Linked DNA regions of Mytilus edulis. The main gene of each other region encodes a partner of the protein of the gene in region 2 in a complex. Links are inferred from orthologs where the notes say so. Each region holds a gene or a part of one and is shown on either strand. Other genes may lie near its edges.

What was found. The genes of interacting proteins can lie anywhere in the genome.
Region 1: splicing factor 3B subunit 3-like (region 2) and splicing factor 3B subunit 6-like share a complex: the UniProt entries of both Drosophila melanogaster proteins name them as parts of the splicing factor SF3B complex. The link is inferred for Mytilus edulis from reciprocal best matches to the Drosophila melanogaster genes Sf3b3 and Sf3b6.
Region 3: splicing factor 3B subunit 3-like (region 2) and microfibrillar-associated protein 1-like share a complex: the UniProt entries of both Drosophila melanogaster proteins name them as parts of the spliceosome B complex. The link is inferred for Mytilus edulis from reciprocal best matches to the Drosophila melanogaster genes Sf3b3 and Mfap1.

What each region holds. Positions count from the first base shown.
Region 1 is NC_092355.1:34,233,678-34,240,548, forward strand, and holds the start of splicing factor 3B subunit 6-like, read right to left. Parts: upstream 3,008-6,871; 5' UTR 2,926-3,007; coding exon 2,899-2,925; intron 410-2,898; coding exon 291-409; intron 115-290; exon of another isoform or gene 1-114. UniProt on the Drosophila melanogaster protein: Involved in pre-mRNA splicing as a component of the splicing factor SF3B complex. SF3B complex is required for 'A' complex assembly formed by the stable binding of U2 snRNP to the branchpoint sequence (BPS) in pre-mRNA.
Region 2 is NC_092348.1:7,220,022-7,227,237, forward strand, and holds the start of splicing factor 3B subunit 3-like, read right to left. Parts: upstream 3,004-7,216; 5' UTR 2,863-3,003; intron 1,813-2,862; 5' UTR 1,804-1,812; coding exon 1,578-1,803; intron 643-1,577; coding exon 566-642; intron 1-565. UniProt on the Drosophila melanogaster protein: Involved in pre-mRNA splicing as a component of the splicing factor SF3B complex, a constituent of the spliceosome. SF3B complex is required for 'A' complex assembly formed by the stable binding of U2 snRNP to the branchpoint sequence (BPS) in pre-mRNA.
Region 3 is NC_092350.1:92,500,328-92,508,284, reverse strand, and holds the start of microfibrillar-associated protein 1-like, read left to right. Parts: upstream 1-4,950; 5' UTR 4,951-5,180; coding exon 5,181-5,241; intron 5,242-7,957. UniProt on the Drosophila melanogaster protein: Required for pre-mRNA splicing.

The DNA of each region.
Region 1 (6,871 bases), on a different chromosome or scaffold from region 2:
TATTAACACTACGGAATTTCTACAGGCCCAACGGGCGCGTACAAATTAAGATTTACAGGCCCGACGATGATTTTACACGCCTCGGGCTTCGGACTACCGCCCAAATTCGAAGACTGTATATACTAAGTTTACTGAATCCCAGGTCATTTTGGTTTTTTGTTGTATTGCTGTAAAATTTAAGAATTAAATAATCTAGGTAAAAAAGGCTAGGATTTGAAATTTCGGACAGAATAGAAATAGTACACATTATACGTGTTATAGATCTAAGTCAACATTGTTTTAATACTTACACTCTTATTTGTCGTATAGCACCATACTTTCCAAAAATATCATACATTTCTTCAGCTGTTATTTTGTAGGGCAGATTTCTGATATACAGGATCCTGTTGACCTCTGGTGGAAGCCGAACCTGAATAATGAAAATCACCTTATTACTGCCCCTTTAATGAATATCTTTTTAATAAATAAGTGCCTATAAACAGCAGCACATGATGTCCATACAAATCTATTGGAGTGTGGATCAATCAGCAGGGCTCACGCTACCAGGCGACTTGGGCGAAGAAGTCGCCTTCCCGACCGTCACTTCGCTTTCCTCGACCCCCAAAAGCGAAAACAAGTCGCCCTGTTCTTGACGACAGTCGCTTTCAGTCGCTTCCGTCATCGGACATTTTCAATTTTTACCAAGTTGATGAAACATCAAATTTTTATTGATAATTAAAGAATTTCAGACATAAACGATTCATTATCTTTTGAAAAGAGGTTGAAGCATTGTCTTCGCAGTGTGTAGCAGGTTATTTGATAAAAATACAACTTTTTATCACTTCGTGCATTTCTGCAAGTACCGGTGCTTGTTCACTCGAAAACGTACATCAACCTCAATTTCGGCGGCAAAATAAGTTTGTTACTTCATTTAAACGTGATAAAAGTTGCCTCCAGTAAATTTTAATCCATTTATTGCATTAAAAACGTCATGTTTCTTTCCAAATAACTTGTCAAACATCGTTTATTTTTGTAAATTTTCTTGCATTCGTCCGCCATTGACCGATTTCTAATCTACGGATCTGAACCGGACCAGCTATGACCGAAATCCGTACTTTTACAATAATTACTACGGACGCACGGATGGAACAGCTGACAGAAGAATATTGATCCCAAAGGGAAAAATTACGCATTCCACACGCATTAAGAGACTTTTGGTTACATCTAATTGATTGGTGTATATAATTCCTTATATTTTTTATGGATTGTTTCAAACTATTGATTAAAGTTACTTAACTCTGAGACTATTATACTAATATCAATATATTATGGCCCAGCTTAATAACTTTTATATTTTTTTTATGAGAAACACTGAATGTCATACACAAGATAATTTTTAATTAAATTGTAATTGATATATTATAATTTCTTTACATTTTTTTTAAATATTTTTTATTTTTTTAGTGCTAGATATTTAGTTGGTAGTTTCTCACAAGCTTAAACAACTTTTAATTTCAAATGTTACTTTAATTGTAATGTTTTTACTCAGATATGAATTGAACAGTATAAAAAAAACATTATTTACATATATGGCCCTTTATACTATTGTAAAATCCAAACATTGTATCGCACAGCGCGAATGAGCACTTCTCTTTCAAATCTCACCACTTCTCCCTATCAGTTTCAAAAAGAGAAGTCACTTCTCCCTATAATTCTGAAGTAGTGTGAGCCCTGATCAGTACAGAGATTAATTCAATTACACAAATAAAATTATAGATTGCCTAACAATTTAATTTTAACACACTATTTAGTATGTAAATATAAGAATGTTTAAAATATTTACAAAATAATGAAAATAAACGCAATTAAAAGTTAAAATTACATTGTTAGGCAATTCTTAATACATGTAATATATATATTTGAAATAATAGTTGAATTAGAATTATCTTAAGTTTTTTGTTGCTTCTTGATGAATCTAGGTCTGTTTGCCTTGATTCACGTTCTGCCTAGTACCTGTTCACCCTAATATCTATTTGCCAAGGGTCCATTCACCCTCATTTTTTTTATTTGTTTTATTGTTGCATACATGTACATGTAGTTGCATTAATAGTTTATTATTTGAACAGAATATGGTAAGTTTGTTGAAAAATTTGCTTACTTTATTAATAATTTTTTTGCTGTAAAAAAACACATCATTGTTTCTACTGAAATAAAGTGAGATTGTGACGGTTTTTTTTGGGGTGTTGGATAAATCTTACTCATGGTTTATTTCGTGTATTGCTATAATGTTTTCATTGTTTCAAAAATAAAGTGAGATTCCAACAACATTTTTTTTTGTGCTGAATTAATTTAAAATCATGTTTTGGTTCGTATATTGCTATCATTTTTTGTTTTCATTGTTTCAGATCAAAGTATTTGAATCAAAGCAATTTAAAACAACAATCATGATTTTCCAATTATTCAACTGGAATTTGTGATTTTAAATTGGGTTCGAACGTGCGAGGTGCGAACATGTAGGGTGAGAAAGTGTATTGGGCGCGAACGGACCTGATACCCATCTGCACATGGACACAAAAGTCAACCTTAAAATTATACTGGATTTGCCTTTTGCCGTTTTGGTGTTTTGAACATAATTTTTAAGGTTTTTTCTTGACTTAACTCATGAAATGGTACAACTCTAAATCAAGTAAAATTGACCCTAACACTGTAACAATGGTTTTGGTAAACAAATATTTTACTTATTGCTAAGGCAAGGGGGTATAAACATGTATTTTTTTTTATTAATTATTCCCTCATAAAGCTCTTAATTAAGGTAAACACAGTTGTCTTGAATCATTGCGCTAGAAAACATATACTCAATCATTTCTAAAGAATTTAAAGCCAATAACATAAGATCAGATAATGATTTAAACAATTTACATTTCCCCCTTTTCTGCTCAATGCCATTTTTGCTGTTCAAGGCTGTAAAAGTGCTTTATGTACCGAATGCAATTTCCATTTTTAAAACGTTTGAGCAACGTCTTGAAATAGTCATTAAACTAGCTTATAAAAGTGAATAACGTTTGAGTTTGTAATTTAATTTATAGGTATCATAATTTGTCAAGAATAAAAAATGATCACAACTTGAATACATTGTCTTCAATTTTCTAATTTTATTCTTTTAGTCTAGAGAGTATACGTCGATGTGACGTCACCCGTAATGACAATTTAGCAACTTCCGGCAACACTGTGAATCACACTCAGGTGTAGGAAAGAAATACTGACTGAAAATGTCAACTCCAACCAGTGACACCCCAGACAAATCAGCTGGTAGGCATTAGTTCACAGTCTTTCAACAGTATAGACCCAAATTATGTTCTAAATGTTGAGCCACGAATCAAAATCATAGAAAAACTGCCCGGTCTTCCTAAAACTGTCAACAACACGCAAAAAGCTTTCAACGTGTACATAAGACGTAGAAATGTACATATATTTATCCGGACTCATTATGGACATTTGTGCACTCTCAATATAGCCATAGATTGAAGTGCAACATTAAAAATCGCTTTTAAAACATGTTAAAGAGGTCTATAAAATGAGTAAATCACTTTTTGAGTCTGAAGCAATTTTTTCATTTCAGTGGCGGATCCAGAACTTTTCATAAGGGGGTCCACTGACTGACCTAAGGAAGGGGGCCCCTGTTCCAGTCAAGCTTCAGTGGTACCCTTTATTTAATCAACCAAATTTTTCTAACGAAAAGGGGGGGGGCCTGGCCCCCCTGGATCCGCCCATGGATTTAAGCCCTATATAAAGTTTCTAAGGGATATTAAAAAGTGCTTTCAAAACATGTTATAGAGGTCTATAAAATGAGTAAACTGCATATTGAATCTGAAGCAATTTTCTGATTTATACCCTATATACAAATGTATCATGTATATTAAGTTTCTACATTGTTCTAAGGGACATAATTTTCTTACTAACTTACTCATAAAAAACTTGACCTTTCTACAACAGCAGCACTAATCTGTAAACATGAAGCAGAAAAAATATGAGGCAGGCATTAACTATGAAAGGGGAAGAAGTCTGTATGAATTTTTTTTTAAATCAAACATATTTTAAAGGGATAATTCACGAATTTTTACTTATCAGCTAGTTTTGTTCATTGTACCATAAACAACATATTCACCAAGATTTATCTGGATATGAACAGCAATAAAGGAGAAAATTGAAAATTATTTATTTTATTTCTTTGAACTTCCTGACTTACATGACTTATGTGACGTAGTTTTAAGTCTTCTTGCATGCCGGGAGTTGAAATAATCTCATTGTAAATCTTAATCGTTATTCATCTTATAACGCTATTTGAAGCGCATCGACAACGTTTGGTGTAGCTATTAACCAACTAATAATTAAGATGGAATAGTGATCAGCTTAAAATAAGAATGTACGATTTATATTTTAATATTTTCTGAAATGATTATAGTGATACAAGTAAGTCATATAAAAGAATATTTTGATGATATTTTGAACAGACATATATAAGGCCACGGTTTTTTAATTTGTTGGTTTACGGATTTTCTCCATGAAAAAGTCGGGTCGGTCGGTCGGGAAAAAAGAAAAAAAAAGATCTTTCAAGACAGAAAACCATATGCAAAATAAAAATATATTTCACCTTTCTAATAATATGTTTGTCATACTATTTTTCATCGTTCTTAAATTTTAGTTTGATGAAATATTATTGCTCAGCTGTAAACATCGCATGACATTGTCTAATAATTTCCCGTAAAAAAAGGGGGGGTACACTGACAAAGACGAAATTAAATCGTCATTTCACAAACAAGAAAAACAGATTCACGTCAGTTATTTGACTTAGCTTTTAATCAAAACTTGGTGAAAAATAATAAGCACCAAAACTGATAAAGAAAAAAAGTAAAAACGTCGTACGAAAATAAGTTTCAACACACGTGTCAAAAACGTAATAGACTCGTCCACTGGAAAAAACGAGAATATCAGGTTAAATAATCTGTTGTTATGCATTCCCGTTTTTTATCCAAATGGACGATATTTTTTTATTATCTGTAAAACAAGAAAATATCAAATGATTTGTTAAAATTCAGTATTTTAACTTGATTTCTTGAACTTCCACCTGTCCACATTTGGACAAGTCTATTTATACGAGAACATGCATCTTACGGACTGGTGACAAATAAGGGAAACGAACTCATTGTGTAATTTGTTTTAAACACAGGTTTCGTTCCGCAAAATTATTTGCGCAAACGACATTTCAAGGTCATTAATAATTGATTTGTCTATTTTTAGAAACGTAAACTGAAAGATTCATTTTTCACAACAGAAAGTGTCATCACTTCTGTTAGTGATTAATGCATTTCATTTCATAAAAAAGGATATTTTAATTATTTTTCAGGGATACTGCATTTGTTAGGGTCGGAGAGAATAAAAAAAAGCCTGAAAATTTGATTTTATTTTTATTTTGGAAATCGGCAAAATCGGGTCGGCGGATCCGTAAACCAACAAATTAAAAAATCCTGGCCTAACTGATAGTGTTTTAAAAATGCATGTTTGTACTTTTTACCTTTTACATCAGTCTGTCTAGTAAATATATGTCCTGCTAGTACATTTGTAGTGTGCAAATACGGCCCAGCAAATACAATGTGTATTGTACTTTGACACATAGTGACTACCTGTTGAATGCGTGGTTAAATTCAAGTTAATTAAAAGATTATCATTTTGTATCTTTTGATCTTTACTCAGTAAATTTAAGCTGTCACGGTTCACTTTTCTAGGTGTGAACAACATTTCGTATGAATGATACACGTGGGGAATCTTAATATTTTCCATAAGCTCAGTTTAAATATATATTATTGACGCTGAATATTTTTTGTAAAAAAAGAAATACTGAATTAGTTTAATTGAATAAATTTATGAATAATGATGTCCTTATAAACAAAAGTAAATGAATTAAAAATTTAAAATAAGAATCGGTGACCTTGAATTTTTTAAATAGATAGTAATTACCAATTGCAATTATATAATTGGGTCGTTCAAAGCGATCTTCTTTTTTTTTTTACATATTCAGGAATTAATGTCCTTATCAAAATAATTTAATTCTCACCACGTACTAATTCTTCAGCTATTTGAACGAAAATTTCAAAAAAGTTGCCTGAAAAATTTAAATGTCAACTTTGTCTAACTGGAATGGAATTGAATAAGAATGATAACCTGAAATTTCAATAATGGAATCACCATCGTTATAAATACACAAGCTTATCAAATTTTAAAGAATAACTTCTACCTAATTTTTATACGAGACAAAAAGACGTCAATTGATGTTCATGTACAAACTGTATAGTCATGCCATTGCCGGCGGAATGTTTCTGCTGCCACGAATTTATGCTATTTGATAAAAAAAAATGAAATTGGGTGAATGTTTCACTGAAAATACAGATTTTAGAATAGTATGTCTAAACCCTGTTGTTCTTGAAACAAGCTATATTAGTTTCCTGAGGTACAAGTGCCATAGAGGGAGATCTCCAGACGTACTTACTCACAGGCAAAGCAAGCTTACAGCTTATCGTCAGTTTGTGTGCTGGGTCAGGAAAGGTCAACCACTTGGCAAGAAACACAGAATAATCCTACCGGCTTGTGTAGTTAACATAATTAGAAAAGAGTTTCCATCGTTGGATGGGGTATACAAAGGATTCAAAGAATGTGAAAGTGACACTTTAGACTCTGAATAGTTCTAAAATTATTAAAACGATTATAACCAATACAATTTTTTATACGACCGCAAAATTTTTCGTCGTATATTGCTATCACGTTGGCGTCGTCGTCTGCGTCGTCGTCGTCCGAATACTTTTAGTTTTCGCACTCTAACTTTAGTTAAAGTGAATGG
Region 2 (7,216 bases):
TTGTTTATGATCATAAGATAGTATCCAGAAGTAAATTTTTTAAAACGATAAATTAATTTTTTCCTTAATTTACTGTAAATGGACTTAGATTTTCTGCCAGGAAACAACACATTCACTCTGTGGTTAAAATTTTTAAAAATCTTGATAACTTTCTTATACTATTTTTAATTTGTACCAAACGTGGACATAAGCTTGTATCTAGAAGGAAATTTTGTTAATATTTTGTACCTGTGTATCTGTATTTTACTTGTAAATGGACTTAGTTTTTCTTCCAGTTAACATTACATCCAGTCTGCAGTTAAAGTTTTTAAAATTCATAAACTATCCTGGATTTTTACCAAACTTGGACAGAAGCTTCTTACAATCAAAAGATAGTATCAAGCGGAATATTTCTATTGATTTTTTTCTTTCCTTTTTGTTGAGCCTGTAATTTACAGCAACAGTAGGCGAGACACTGGTTTGTGGAACCCTCACAAATTTGTTTTATTATACAGATGTTCCTTTCTTTCTAAAACACGAAAATTCAAATATGTGGTAAACATTTTTTTATCAGCTGTAAACCTACCCTTTCAAACACATTCTTCTGAGGTATATATTCCAAGATAGTAATTCTTCCAGAGTCGGACCCAACCACAATGTAATCTGAAAATATCATTTTACTCAAAAATTGGCATGTATACAATAATTTTTAGGTAAATTTGCAAATGTTAAGTACTTCAAAATTAAATATATGGTAGCTTGTTGTTAATAGCTTGATTTACCTAACTAAGTATCAGTCAATTCCCTACCTATCATTAACTATACTGACAGACTTCTCTGTAATACCTCTACCATATAGGTGGCCACAAGTTTTTGTTGAGTGTTTGTCCTTGGAAACATTTTTTTCATAGAATTTTTTTTTGTGTATGTGAGAAAAACTGAATTACACTCTCAGTGATTTCAAAGGTCAGTCAGACATTGGCAAATGTCCGGTAATTTTGAGACTGGTCTAGTTATTTTCGGTTTCAAGTGTCCGATATAAATTTATTGAATTAAATAATTTTAAAATGCATCTGTCGGCATGTTATATATCATCACACTTTAGCGTGTCATTTGATCGCACTAAAAAAAAAACATCAACCATCGCACTTTATAAGAGTCCTACATAAATGTATAAAAGACAACTAAAGGATTTTGATTTCTGGTGCTTAAATGCCACCTTTGAGCACTGCATAGCCATATATTTAGGCTATTTTGGTGCAGCCAGTTTTTATTGGTGGAGGGACAACTAAAAGAAGATCTATAAAAAGCCATACATCAGGCCATAAAAAAGAATAGGTTTGTTTGCCCAAACCCTACGTATATACCTACCCAGAAAAAAGCTGCCTACTCAAATTCTTTTCTTGTCCTGATTTGAAGCAGTTTTTTTTTTTTAATCAGATAGGCATGAAGACTAATAAACACCCGATACTTCAATTTCTTTTTTTGAAAAAAAAGAAAGAAAATGCCTACCTACCTACCCACTGTCTCAACCTTTGGATAGTGTTTGGGCAAACCAAAATATTTTTAATTGTGGCCTCAGCAGTTATTTAACTTACCTTTAGAACCACCAGTCAATCTGAAGGGAATAAGAGCTCTAATAGTTCCAAATATTTCTGTTGACAACAAAGGGTAACATTTTCCAGTATTTGGGTCATGTTTTAGAAGTTCCAAAATTTTGCCTCTGGATACAACTATTTCTTGTAACTTGCTTCCAGAAAAGTTGCCATGGATTGCATGAGCAATACCAGTAGCTCTTTGTAAAGTTAAGTTATACAGATACATTCTTCAAGCCTGAAATACAGATAAAGCAGTTGTGAGATGTCTAAGATTTTTTCAACACGATGTGACCTATGTAAAAATCTGATTGTGAAAATATCTAACTGAGAAAAATATTAGTTTTAGTTGATAATATTTTTAAAAAACTTAACTGTGTTGCTGCATTGTAGATTGCTTCCTCTAAAAGTGAAAACCTTTATTTTGCAAAGGTCTTACTCATTTGAGAAGAGTTTCCTACGTATAGTACGTTACATGTGGAGCAGTATCTGCTTACCCTTCTGGATCGCCCCTAGTTTTGTTTTAACATGTTTAAAGGTGTTAGTGTTGCTCTTGCTTTAAATTGTGTACTTTTTTCACTGTCTACATTGTTTGTGCATTTAGGGGCAGGGTCACTTCCTTCCCATGTGGAGCAAGTGGTTGAAAACATACAAATCTGTATTGCACAAATCAATCGGCAAATTAAATTTCATAATTGATAATCAGCATTGCTTTCATTATGAACGATTAAGTACCTGTGGAACTAACAATATTTCTAGTTATTCTGCATAATACAGATCGTGAAGTTGTTTGACTAACTTTACAGGCAATTCCCTCTATCTGGTAAATGGCGATTGGCATGCATAATTTTACTGACAAACTTTTCACTTTCAGTTTCAGGGGAAGGACATAAAAATTTATTTAAACTAGGTATGAGCTGTTCATCAAAGCCCATGTTACCGTTATCTTTTCTACATATGCGTCGTTTAATGCGCTGTTGATAAAAGTAAACATGCATAAACTGTATATAATTTAAGGTTTTCTGTGGTATATTTTTGTTGTGTTCGGTGCTTTTGCAGCCCGATAATAGACAAAAATAGCTTTACATGGTTGACATATACCGCACAATAAACATTAATGAATTAGGATATACTCCGATATCATGAGGAACATGATATCAAGTTATTTTCTTGTATGTTCTAAATGTCACTGAACAAGGGTGGTATAAACACAGGAAATGCAATGTATTGTAGAGATTTGTGGGCTTTCATTCGGGTTTGTTATCATTGAATGTTATCTTATTTGCACCTTATTTCTTTATCATGACATGTCAGCATAAGAAAAGCATTTGATTTCAATGGATTAAGCTCACTGTAACTTTGAATGGTGATCAAGCCGGCATTTTCCTAGCGTTTCCGGAAGCGGAAATGTTCAGTTGACATTGTAAACCAACAACCCAAATGCGATTTAATATCGCAAATCAAGACAACGTCCTAATCTATATTTTGAATGTTCATCAAAATTGTCGATTTCTGGACGTATTTTTATTTAAGTTAGTAGGACGGATTAAGATCCTTTGGGGCTAAAAAAATAAGCTTGATTTAAAATAGAACCAAAAATAATAAAGGAAACTCATATTATGAACAAGTAAGGACATTAAAGGTTATTTTTAATATCATACAGATAAGAATGGCATACCAGTTCAGTTCACGGTTTCCTGTATTTATAAAGAAAAATATTCTCCTATGGCATGTATGGGGAGACACAAATATAATACTCAAAAGGTGAGAATGTTTCTTGTGCATGATATTCAAGAAAGAGGCACTCAATTTTCCTGTCTTGACTTCTCGTGTGTGTGATGTGTTTTACACTTTATAAAATGTTACGGATTTGTTTATGTGGACCGTTTTGAAAATCTTCATACGATGTGTTTTTAATTTGTTTGTGGCATTTGTTTTTCCAGAATGATTCATTGTTTTTAATTTCTATCAATCTTTCCCGTAGAATTTTCTATGTAATGACTACAGATGTTTTAGAAATAGTGTTCCCCACTCTATTGCTAAGGTTATTTTCTCTATGGTCAGCCAGAACTATTTGTCTGTGTATAATTCCCACTCTTTTCTGGCAATGTTTATAAAGAAGGTAAGTATGTTTTCCCCTCGGTTCTGCTCCTACAAGAGGGTAAGCAGTGGTATTTGACTTATGATATATGTACCGATATCTTATGTTTAAAATTATAGTAAATAAAAGACCGAACTCAAAGTTAAATAAAAAGGTTTTTCGTGGGACAATATAATGCATTCATTAAAAATATTTTTAATTTATTTTTAGTTGGATATCTAAATATTAATTGGTATAATGATTTCATATTTAAAGTTTCTTGTATTTCTATGACTCTAAATCATCTGTTTGCCCCTCAACTCATAGACCTTTTTAACAATTGTCTACACCTACAGTTGAGCACGACTACGACAGGTAAGATGTGAGGGGTCGTTTCAAAAATAAAAAATAAAAATAATACGATACTTCACTAATCATCACTAAGAGATTTAATGCTTGCAATTTATTTGAGTGACAATGATACCTTCCAACAGAGTAAAATGGCATTTTTAAATTTAGAAAGAAAAAAAACAACGATCAACTCATTTTCTGTACGGTGGAGAAAAAAAACCCAAAAAAAACAACAACAATCTCTGATCGACTAAAAAGGAATCAAATATGAAGGCGAAGCATAATTTCCACCGTGTGAGGCCGGATAATTAATATGTATGTGGCAGCTATTCTTATGGATCTTTCGAAAGCTTTTGACTGTTTACCACATTATATCCTTTTAAGTAAATTATCTGCCTACAGTCTTTCTTCTAAATCAGTGAAATTACTTCAAAATTATCTTACAGATCGTAGGCAACAAATCAAACTTCAAGGAGTACTCAGCAGTTGGGCTGACATCCAGAAAGGGGTACCCCAAGGCTCAATCCTGGGGCCCCTATTATTTAATATTTTTTATAAATGACATATTCTATTTTATTGAACATGGTACCCTATATTATATAATTATGCCGATGATAATACTCTGTCATATGCAGACAACAATTTTGAAAATTTATTATGTACACTTGAAAGAGAAAGTGCTGTTTTAACTGACTGGTTTTGTTTTAATTGTTTGCAGGCAAATCCCGACAAATTCCAAGCCATTGCAGTTGGAAATAAAACATATGGCATAGCATTTTTGCAACAAAGAGAACACCACCAAATTGGAAAAAAATCAGGAAAGGGCTTTACAATTTATATATGAAGACTATGTTAGTTTATATGCTGAACTTCTTTTACGAGCAAAGGTTCCATCACTGAAAATTAGACGTACATGCATAACATGGCTATTGAGTGTTTTAAAATTTTATATTAATTGTCACCACCATGCTTACATGATTCAGTTGTATTGAAAGATTGTAAATATAATTTTTATTTTTAGATATTCCAATATTGTAGATATACCTAGGGTCCGAACATCAACCTATGGTAAGAACTATTTTAAATACACAGGCTGTTTAATGGAATGATCTACCTGATGATTTTAGAAAAAATGCTAATTTTAGTCAGTTCAAAAATATTTTAAAATCATGGAATGGAAATGGCTGTAAGTGCATAGTTTGCGCAGACTTTTAGTTTATATATTATGCAAATTTATTTACCGTCTAGATCATACCCCATTTTTCAAATTTTTATGCTATGCATTTTGCGGTTGTATTGTTATAAATGTTGTATTGTTAAACATGTCTCGTATGTCGGTTAAAAGCTCATTAGAGCTTATGTTTGTCTATGTTTGTATACCTTGCTGACTCTAAATAAAGCTTATTTATTTATTTATTATTATATCTATACACAGTATCAACATTTTCAGGACTTGGTTCAGGCGAACAAAACAGGCGACAGGATTACTAGATTAAAAAAACCCTCCCTTATGCATGGTCATAGACGAAATTTAAAAAGAATCATTTGTAAAAAAAATTAAAAGATTATAAAACCGGCAAAGATTTGTCTACGATAAAATAGATAATATAAGTTATATGGTTCGCTACTGACCCCATACGGATCCATAGAGGGTTAGTAAAATCCATAGGGAGGTGAGGCCGGAGGCCGAGTCCCCTATGCATTTTATTCACCCTCTATGGATCCGTAGGGAGTCAGTAGTTAACCGTATAACGAATTTATCGGACGCTGGACTTTTTCTGCGGCATTTTGTTGAAAAATAAACAACAACATTAATGGATGACGTCGCCATTAACGCGTCATGAACCCCATATGAAACTTACTTACCCCATACGGTCTCTTATCGGACCACAGATGAATTATCACGTTGTGATTGGTTAAACGCCGCAACGGGGGTCAGTAGGGAACCATATAACTTATAATAGGGGGTCACCACGTGACGGTGTTTAACCAATCACAACGTGATAATTCATCTGTGGTCCGATAACGTTCTATAGTAACTAGTATGTTGAATTATAAATTCCATACGCACGTATGTACTGCTTAAATGTTGATACATCTCCCCTTATTCAAGAAGGAAATACACCAACTTTAAGATATCTTGATCTTTTCATTCGACCTTTAAAATCAATATGCCTACCCCTCCCAAAATTTAACATGTACATCGGGTAAGGTTTAGATCGTTTAAAGAAGTATCGACCGTGTTAACAAGTGTGATAACAGACGGACAGACAGTCCAGTATTAATATTCTTTCAGAAATTCTCAGAAATTTTCAGAAAAACTTAAACAGATACACATTTATTCTTATTGCATGGCATGCGGCATAATCATAAAGTTGAAGAGAAAGCTGATCAGGATGCGGAATGATTGAAGTAATTTTTAGCTCACCTGGCCCGAAGGGCCAAGTGAGCTTTTCTTATCACTTTGCGTCCGGCGTCCGTCGTTAGCTTTTACAAAAATTTTCTCCTCTGAAACTACTGGGCCAAATTAAACCAAACTTGGTAACAATCATTATTGGGGTATCTAGTTTAAAAAATGTGTGGCGTGACTCGGCCAACCAACCAAGATGGCCGCCATGTTTAAAAATAGAACATAGGGGTAAAATGTAGGTTTTGGCTTATAACTCTGAAACCATTTGCATTTAGAGCAAATCTGACATGGGGTAAAATTGTTTATCAGGGTTGTTGGGTTGCTGCCCCTGAATTGGCAATTTTAAGGAAAATTATACCGTTTTTTGGTTATTATCTTGAATATTATTATAGATAGAAATACACTGCAAACAGCAATAATGTTCAGCAAAGTAAGATCTACAAAAAAGTCATTTTTTACCAATTTTTCGTATTTTTTTCTAATCTTTTACAAAAGTCTTCTCCTCTAAAACCACTAGTCCAAATTTAACCATACTTGGCCATAATTATCATTGAGGTATCTTGTTTAAAAAATGTGTGCAGTGATTCTGCCAACCAACCAAGATGGCCACCATGGCTAAAAATAGAACATAGGGGTAAAATGTAGATTTTGGCTTATAACTCTGAAACCAAAGAATTAAGAGCAATTCAGACAGGGTTAAATTGTTTTGCAAGTCAAGATCGATCTGCCCTGAAATTTTCAGATGAATCCGACACCATGTTGTTGGGTTGCTGCTCCTGAATTGGTATTTTTTAAGGAAAT
Region 3 (7,957 bases), on a different chromosome or scaffold from region 2:
TCGCCGCCTGGACGCTCTTTTACATCGCGATGACCGTGAGGGCATTCCGTTGCTTTGTTACCACAGAGATCTGACTTGCGTTTTTGACTAGTAATCGATCGTATAAATAACAATCCGTATCGCTTGTTATAAATTCATTTCTTCAATGAATACTAAAAAAAAATGTTTAGAAAACAAATGAATAAGATGTAAATGTCTGTTTACGTAAGAAATGTGTATATATTTTTTCTATATTTATACATTTAGATCGTTCAGTGCTGTTTATTTGGTATTTTTATTGACGTAATTGTTCTTGTACCATCATAACTGTCGTTGCCTTTAAAGCTTTAGAAGTGTGCACTTAACAAAAGATTCAGCACCCAAATGACGTTTTGAAGGACAGGAAAGCAGTTATTTATAAGGGGTTTATCTGATATAAGATTTATGCATGAGTTCGAATGAGAGAATTTTCCATCAAAGTAATAGTTTGTTTTAAGTAAACCATTATAGATCAAAGTAGGGCCTTAAACACGGAGCCTTGACTCTCAGCGAACACCACGCTATATAGGAACCAAAAAATAACTAGTGTTAAACCACTCAAACAGGAAAACCAACAGTCTAATTTGTATACAAAAAGGAGATTCAAAAAAGCACAGGCCAAATTTTGTCGAATCAATCTGAACGAGTACAGTATGATTCATCTTTGTCAAAAGTTAGTTTCATTGTTTTCAATAAAGAAAGTCTTCCATGCATGCGTTACGAGCATATCTGATATATATTATTTGGGTGCGTTCATTATAAATTTGCTAAATGTTATATATATGTGAACAATGATTTTGATACTTAGCTATTTGATTACGACATTGTTTATTAAACCCTATCGGTACTGGCGTTTTCAAATTTTGAAAATGGTGGATTGAACCTGGTTATATTGCGCTAAACCTGTCACGTGTATGACAGTATCATCAAATTCTGTCATATTTACAACGATGCATGAACAAAACAGACATAAGAGGTAAAATTGTCAAAATTTGGAGAAAGCAGTCAAATATTAATACTAATAATTACTATTATAGATATTACAAAAACACCGCTATGATATTTTAAAAGTATCGCATTGATATTTTAAAAGTATCGCATTGATATTTTAAAAGTACCGCATTGTTTATTTATGTATATAGGAAAAACACAGCACTTCAAATTTTTCACGGACATAAACTTTAGCTTCTAACTAACTTCTGAATGTATATTTAGACTCAATTGTTGTTTATATTTGAACAATAAGTTTTAAAGTTAGTATTTTCATAATTTTTCGTTGCCGAAAACAACATTTTCCGCATGGAATGTCTGCATATTTACAATTGATATTAGACAATATCGCTCATTGATATAAGAAAAGTTTTTATCGATACGCTTCTTCCATAGACTGATAATTGTAAATCATTTTTACGGTTGATGTGAGCTGCAAGGATTTAAAATCATACTTTATGGATTGAAAACACACAAGTATTTTTTATTCACGACCGTTTTAAATCTGAATATTTAATAAACTTGTATTACTTTCCGTTTTTATGGATCTATAATAATACAAAAAAAAATAATTATAATTACTCATAAAACCCAAATAACAAAATGGTATGAAATAAATAACGTAGAAATTTAAGGATTATTGTTTATAAACAATTTTTTTTTGTATGATGCAAGAATTTATTAAGATTTAATTTTTATGTTTCCTGTACAAATGAATATTTAAAAATACCAAAGCAGAGTATCTTGTCGTATAAAATGCTTATTTCTTAATTGCAACTCTGAAAACATTCTGATTTCAATCATTGTTAGGTTCTTCAGAAACATAAATACAGTATATATTTTATATATATGTCTTTGATTCGGATTGAATTAAATAAATTTGATAAGAATATTATCTTTCTGTTTTCCGATCTAATATTAATATTTTAACTAGAATGTTCTCTCTCGTAAATCTATGACTGAAATACACAGTATCCCGTGTTTCAATCTTCAAACATAATTAGTTTAATACATGTTATCGAGACAACAGACACTACCACGTTATAATTGATCTAGATACACACAGTGTACAGTTGTCGTTTTAAAACATAATTGCATCGTCAAGGGCCACCAAGAGACCACATCAAAGACTAAACTGGTCCGCCGTTCTATCTATAGCTTCGCACCAGTGTAGCGATAAGTGAACACAACAGGGGTCCAGTTTAATCAAAGACTTGATAACGACCTGTTAAGACCTATATAAATAACCGAAAACTTTCGAGACGTTCCGAGAAATTTATTCTGACTGCCGGCCGATAGATATCGGGTGGCCCATAGACACATCCAAAACTCGCCAATATATTAGCATGAACCCCCTGTTCATGCAAAAAGTTAAAAAGTATATTCAAACAAAACGCATTTGACTCACAGGTCGAACAACTGGTGTTCTTTAACCCTGCTGACTGCCATTGGCGATATATATATCCCTGCTTTCATGTCGATCCGGCCCACGGTGATTTCGACCATATTTAAAGTCGATCCGGCCCCAATAAAAATATATTTATAAAGAATAAAAATAAAAATATATATTAATTGTAATTCATAAATGTTTATGAATTTTATTATAATGCAAAAGGTGTACGGTAAAAGAAAATGGCATATTTGACGAATGTCTTCTTTACACGGGTATAAAACAACTAGGTTGATTATGTTTGCATTACAAGTTTTCAAACTTGTTTTTTTATCTACACACAACCAGAGACATATATTATGTCTCTGACACAGTATTCAAAATATTGTCAACTTAAAAAAAAATAATGACTATATTCGATATTACAAAAAACAACAAGTGTATGATATATTACAGTCCCTGATGTTACCTGAAAACAAATACATTATTATAAGACATAACATCAAACAAAAGATCAAACTATAAAGACCTTGTTGATTACGTAACTTCAATACGCATGGATATCCTTAAAATAAACTACTATCTGATTGTACATGTTAAACACGTGCTCAATATCCATACTTTTTTGTTGATTGTTGTCAAACAGGTGACAATCGTTAAACTTCGGCTTCAAAACGCGAACTTTAATTACCCGCCATATTTTCACAACAACACTGACCCATTGAAAATATAAATTGACGATTATACGAAAATTATGCGAAAAAAATGGTAAAATCGTGCTCAGAAGACTAAGTTTATGATGTTTGTATGCATTGGCCCAAGAATTGGAATAATATCATTTTTCACCGGTCACTCGTTACATATGACTTTAAATGGATAAAAATCGCCATGACATTCAAGGAAAATAACTTAATTTTGATATGCTGTTCAAAGTTGCTATACAAAAAGACACAATCATAACCATTTTGGTATCGACTTAAAATATTTCATCTTACTCCAATATATTCATACTTCTCTTACCTGTTGTCATCCATCATTCCAAATTCCATTTATACTGATTCATTCCTTATCATTTATTATGGGGCCGAATCGGTTTGGGACTGGATACCTATATAGCCATATTATGAAATGATGTGTCTGCAAATCTGTGGCCGAGCGGAGCGAGGTGAAATATTTTGTGATTATTTTACATGTATTATGCAGAAAATTATATTTTTTGGGACATTTTCCCTGTATGCATGTGTACTCTCATAGAATCCAACACTGGTTAGATTCTTGTTTAATTTCGAAATACCAAAAACTCGAAACCATCATCATTCAATTCATACCGTCTAATGTTTGATGTAAAAGTTTCACACCAAATCCTATCTTTGACATTTCAAAACCAGACCCATTACAGCGACACTTCTGAATATGAAACTTTGGAATATAGGAACCGAAGTGACCCTCCTTTCCCGGAATTTTAGCCTCCAAATGAGGCAATCTAATTAAAATATAGATCTCCGATTTCGTTATACTATGTTACTACATATGTGCAATCTAATTAAAATATAGATCTCCGTAGTATAACGAAATCGGAGATCTATATTTTAATTAGATTGCAAATGAGGTTTTTGATTACTTGTCTTAACGAATTGCATGCAGGAGATATAGAAATATAGGGCGTCCGTCCGTCCTGTCTTGTTGGCGCTATCATGTATACAATTATTGCTAGATTTTGGTGAAACTTATATCATCTTTGACACTTCAAATGTTTTTAATCCATTATGCTCCCTGTGAGCAAGGATCCCATGCAACTTTTTCTATAGGTGCCGAATTGACTTTTTAACACACCCTTTCCCCCATAGAGAGAAAACGACCAGACCATAAAATATTTTTTCCGAGTCGGTGATTTAATTCAAGGTATATATATTTGTGTGTGATCTAGACCTTACTGGTATATTTGTGAGTGATCTGAGACCTTACTGGTATATTTGTGAGTGGTCTAGACCTTACTGGTATATTTGTGAGTGATCTAGACCTTACTGGTATATTTGTGAGTGATCTAGACCTTACTGGTATATTAAGTCACTTGATTGATTATGATTTATTATTATATGTCTAAAATGAAAAACAAAATAATGATAAGTATATGAGGGAACATGCTTCAGTGTAACTCGAGACATATATACTACAAATGTATAAATGTCTCCAGTGTAAAATAATAATATATACATATGTATAGTTAAATTCAATTTTATTTATTGTCATTAAACAATTACAATGTTTGTGGCATTACAAGTTTAAAATAATAATAAACATCAAAACTTACAAAACGGAACAGTTTACAAAAAATAATAATAAAAAAAAAGTGATTAATTTACAATATTTAATGTTTAAATAACCATGTTACAATGCCCTTTGTTCAATATTTAGTTGAATCGTGTTTAAAAAAGATATTTGTTTCAAGGGGTGAAGCGAGCTAGGCAAATTAAAAACAAACCATATCTTTGGGTAAGACCATATTTTAGTATAAACCTTATTTTCCGGATACTGATTAGTTTTTACTTTTAGAAACAACGCTTATTCGAAACTACAGCATTATAGCTCTGTTTATTGGACGGTCATTTATGCGTTTTATAGAACAGAGTGATCTTATGTCCAAACAAAAAAATATTTAACCCAGAAAAAGAAAACGAAATACATTCTGTTACAAATTTACTCCAAAATTTTAACAATGCTGTTGTTCTTCTGAGTTCTCGAATGCTGTAAATCCGTTAGAAAATCAAGAAATTAAGTTGAGATGTCGAGCAATGTGCCGATCCAGTCGACTGCTGGAGCAGTCCCTTTAAAAAATGAAAAAGGCAAGTATATGGTGTAATTGGGTAAAAGACAATAAGACTGTATTGATAGGCTCAATATACAGAAGCCCATCAAATCAAAACTCATGTTTAAATATTATTGGACTTTTGAATGAAGCAGCTCGATTGTATAACAATATTTTAATAACGGGAGACTTTAATATGCGTGATATTGATTGGAACTTTTGGACTACGCCTCACTCTGAGGACCATTACGAACATACTTTTATTGAAGCTTTACGCGACAATTTTCTATATCAACATATAGATAAACCTACAAGATTTAGGGAAAATCAGATGTGTAGAACTCTAGATTTAGTTATTACAAAAGATGAAAGCAATATTGACAATATTAATATTGATGCTCCACTGGGACTTAGTGATCATGCTACCATTACATTTGACTTTTTGTACTCTTTCAATGAATATGAAACTGGTAAATCGAAATATAAATATTCCAAATGTGACTTCGAAAAATTTTCTGAAGACTTTAGCAATTTTGATTGGGATAGTTCTTTTGAAGATAAAGACATAAGCGAGATGTGGAAAATATTTTATGAAAAATATAAAAAATGTGTCGAAACGTATATACCGAAAACTAATCCTAAACCGGGTTGTCAACCTAAACCATTATGGCTAACATTTGATTGTCTGAGCAATATAAAACGCAAACAAAAGGCCTGGTCAAGATACTTGGCTACTAGACGAGCAGTAGATTTTGATTTTTATAAAGTTGCTAGAAACAGGGCAAATGAGAACGTTCGAAAAGCAAAAAAGGAATATGAGAAGTTAGTGGCATCAAAAGCTAAAACTGAGCCAAAACATTTTTGGACATATGTCAAAAGTAAAGTGAAATCAAAATCAGCAGTATCAAACCTCATGAAACCAAATGGGAACTTAACTACTTCCGACAAGGAAAAAGCGACTGTATTAAATGACTTTTTTACCAGTGTATTTACTGCTGAAAATCCAAATAATATACCTAATATTGAAGAGAGAAATTTTGAATCATCTTTAGACCACTTTGTGATCAATCAAGATACAGTTGAAAAATATCTACTTTTATTAAATGGAAGCAAGTCTATGGGTCCAGATAATATTCATCCGTTAATAGTAAAGAGTATGGCAAATACATTTTCAAAACCTTTGACTTTGATATTTCAAAAGTCCATTGACACTGGAAAAATTCCAAAAGAATGGAAAGATGCTAGAGTTACCCCACTTTTTAAGAATAAAGGTAGTAAACTGGATGCGGGAAATTACAGACCGGTCAGTCTAACTTCAATTGTTTGTAAAACTTTGGAAAAGGTTATACGGAAGGAAATGATTGATCATTTAATAACCAATAATTTGTTATCAGACTCACAGTTTGGTTTTCGCTCTGGAAGATCATGTATATTACAATTACTTGATGTCATGGAAGACTGGTCATTATATATGGATAATAATATATCCTGGGACACATTATATCTCGATTTTGCCAAAGCTTTCGATAAAGTGCCACATAAAAGATTACTAAAGAAACTGTATTCATACGGTATTCGTGGATCTATATTAGAATGGATAACTGACTTTTTAACTGGACGTCGACAACAAGTTGCGGTGAAAGGGGAAAAATCTGAATGGCAAAATGTAATTAGTGGAGTGCCCCAAGGCAGTGTACTTGGACCTGTTCTTTTCATTATATTCATAAATGATTTACCAGATGTTGTGGAGTCTATAGTAAAAATTTTCGCAGACGATACTAAAATTTATGCACCTACTTCTAAATCTGATGTCTTACAGAATGATCTAGATGCCCTCTACGATTGGTCCAAGTTATGGGACATGAAATTTAATGTGAACAAATGTAAACAAATCCATTATGGAAGAAATAATCCTGAAAATGTTTATACCATGAACAATATTGATATCATTAAAGATGAACAAGAAAAGGATCTTGGAATTATTTTTCAAAATGATCTTAAATTTTCTCAACATATATCAAGTAAAATAAATAAAGCCAATAGTATACTTGGGCTAATTAACCGAACTTTTATCTTTAAAGATCAATATACATTTTTAAGACTATACGTTGCGTTGGTACGACCACACGTGGAATATGGAAATACAATATGGTATCCGCATTTAAAGAAAGATATTAATGCTGTAGAAAAAGTGCAGATGAGAGCAACTAAATTAATTCCTGATATACGACATTTAAGCTATGAAGACAGATTAAAAGTACTTAAACTACCTTCCCTAACTCACAGAAGGCGAAGAGGTGATATGATACAAGCTTTCAAAATATTAAAAGGATTCGAAGATATATCTTATGAAAGATTTTTTACTGTCATCAGTACAAATACCCGTGGGCATAATTGGAAATTAGCAAAACCTAGATGTAACACTTCTTTTCGATTAAGACATTTCTCACAACGAATTATTAATGATTGGAATAACCTACCAGTTGAAGTTATTTCATCAAAAACTGTGGAAGCCTTTAAAATTAGTATAGACCGTCATTGGGAGTCAGTCATGTATCAGTTAAGAAATTGATGAGGACACAAATAGTTTTCTATATAACTTTTTAATTGTGTGAAATATTGCACCAAATCATGCAGGATTGATGATTGTATCAGTTTTGAAAGTGTACCAAAATAGGGTGGGCTAAAAAGGATAGGATCCTTCCATATGAGCCCCACAACGATCTTACAGGTATCTTACAGGTATACCCACA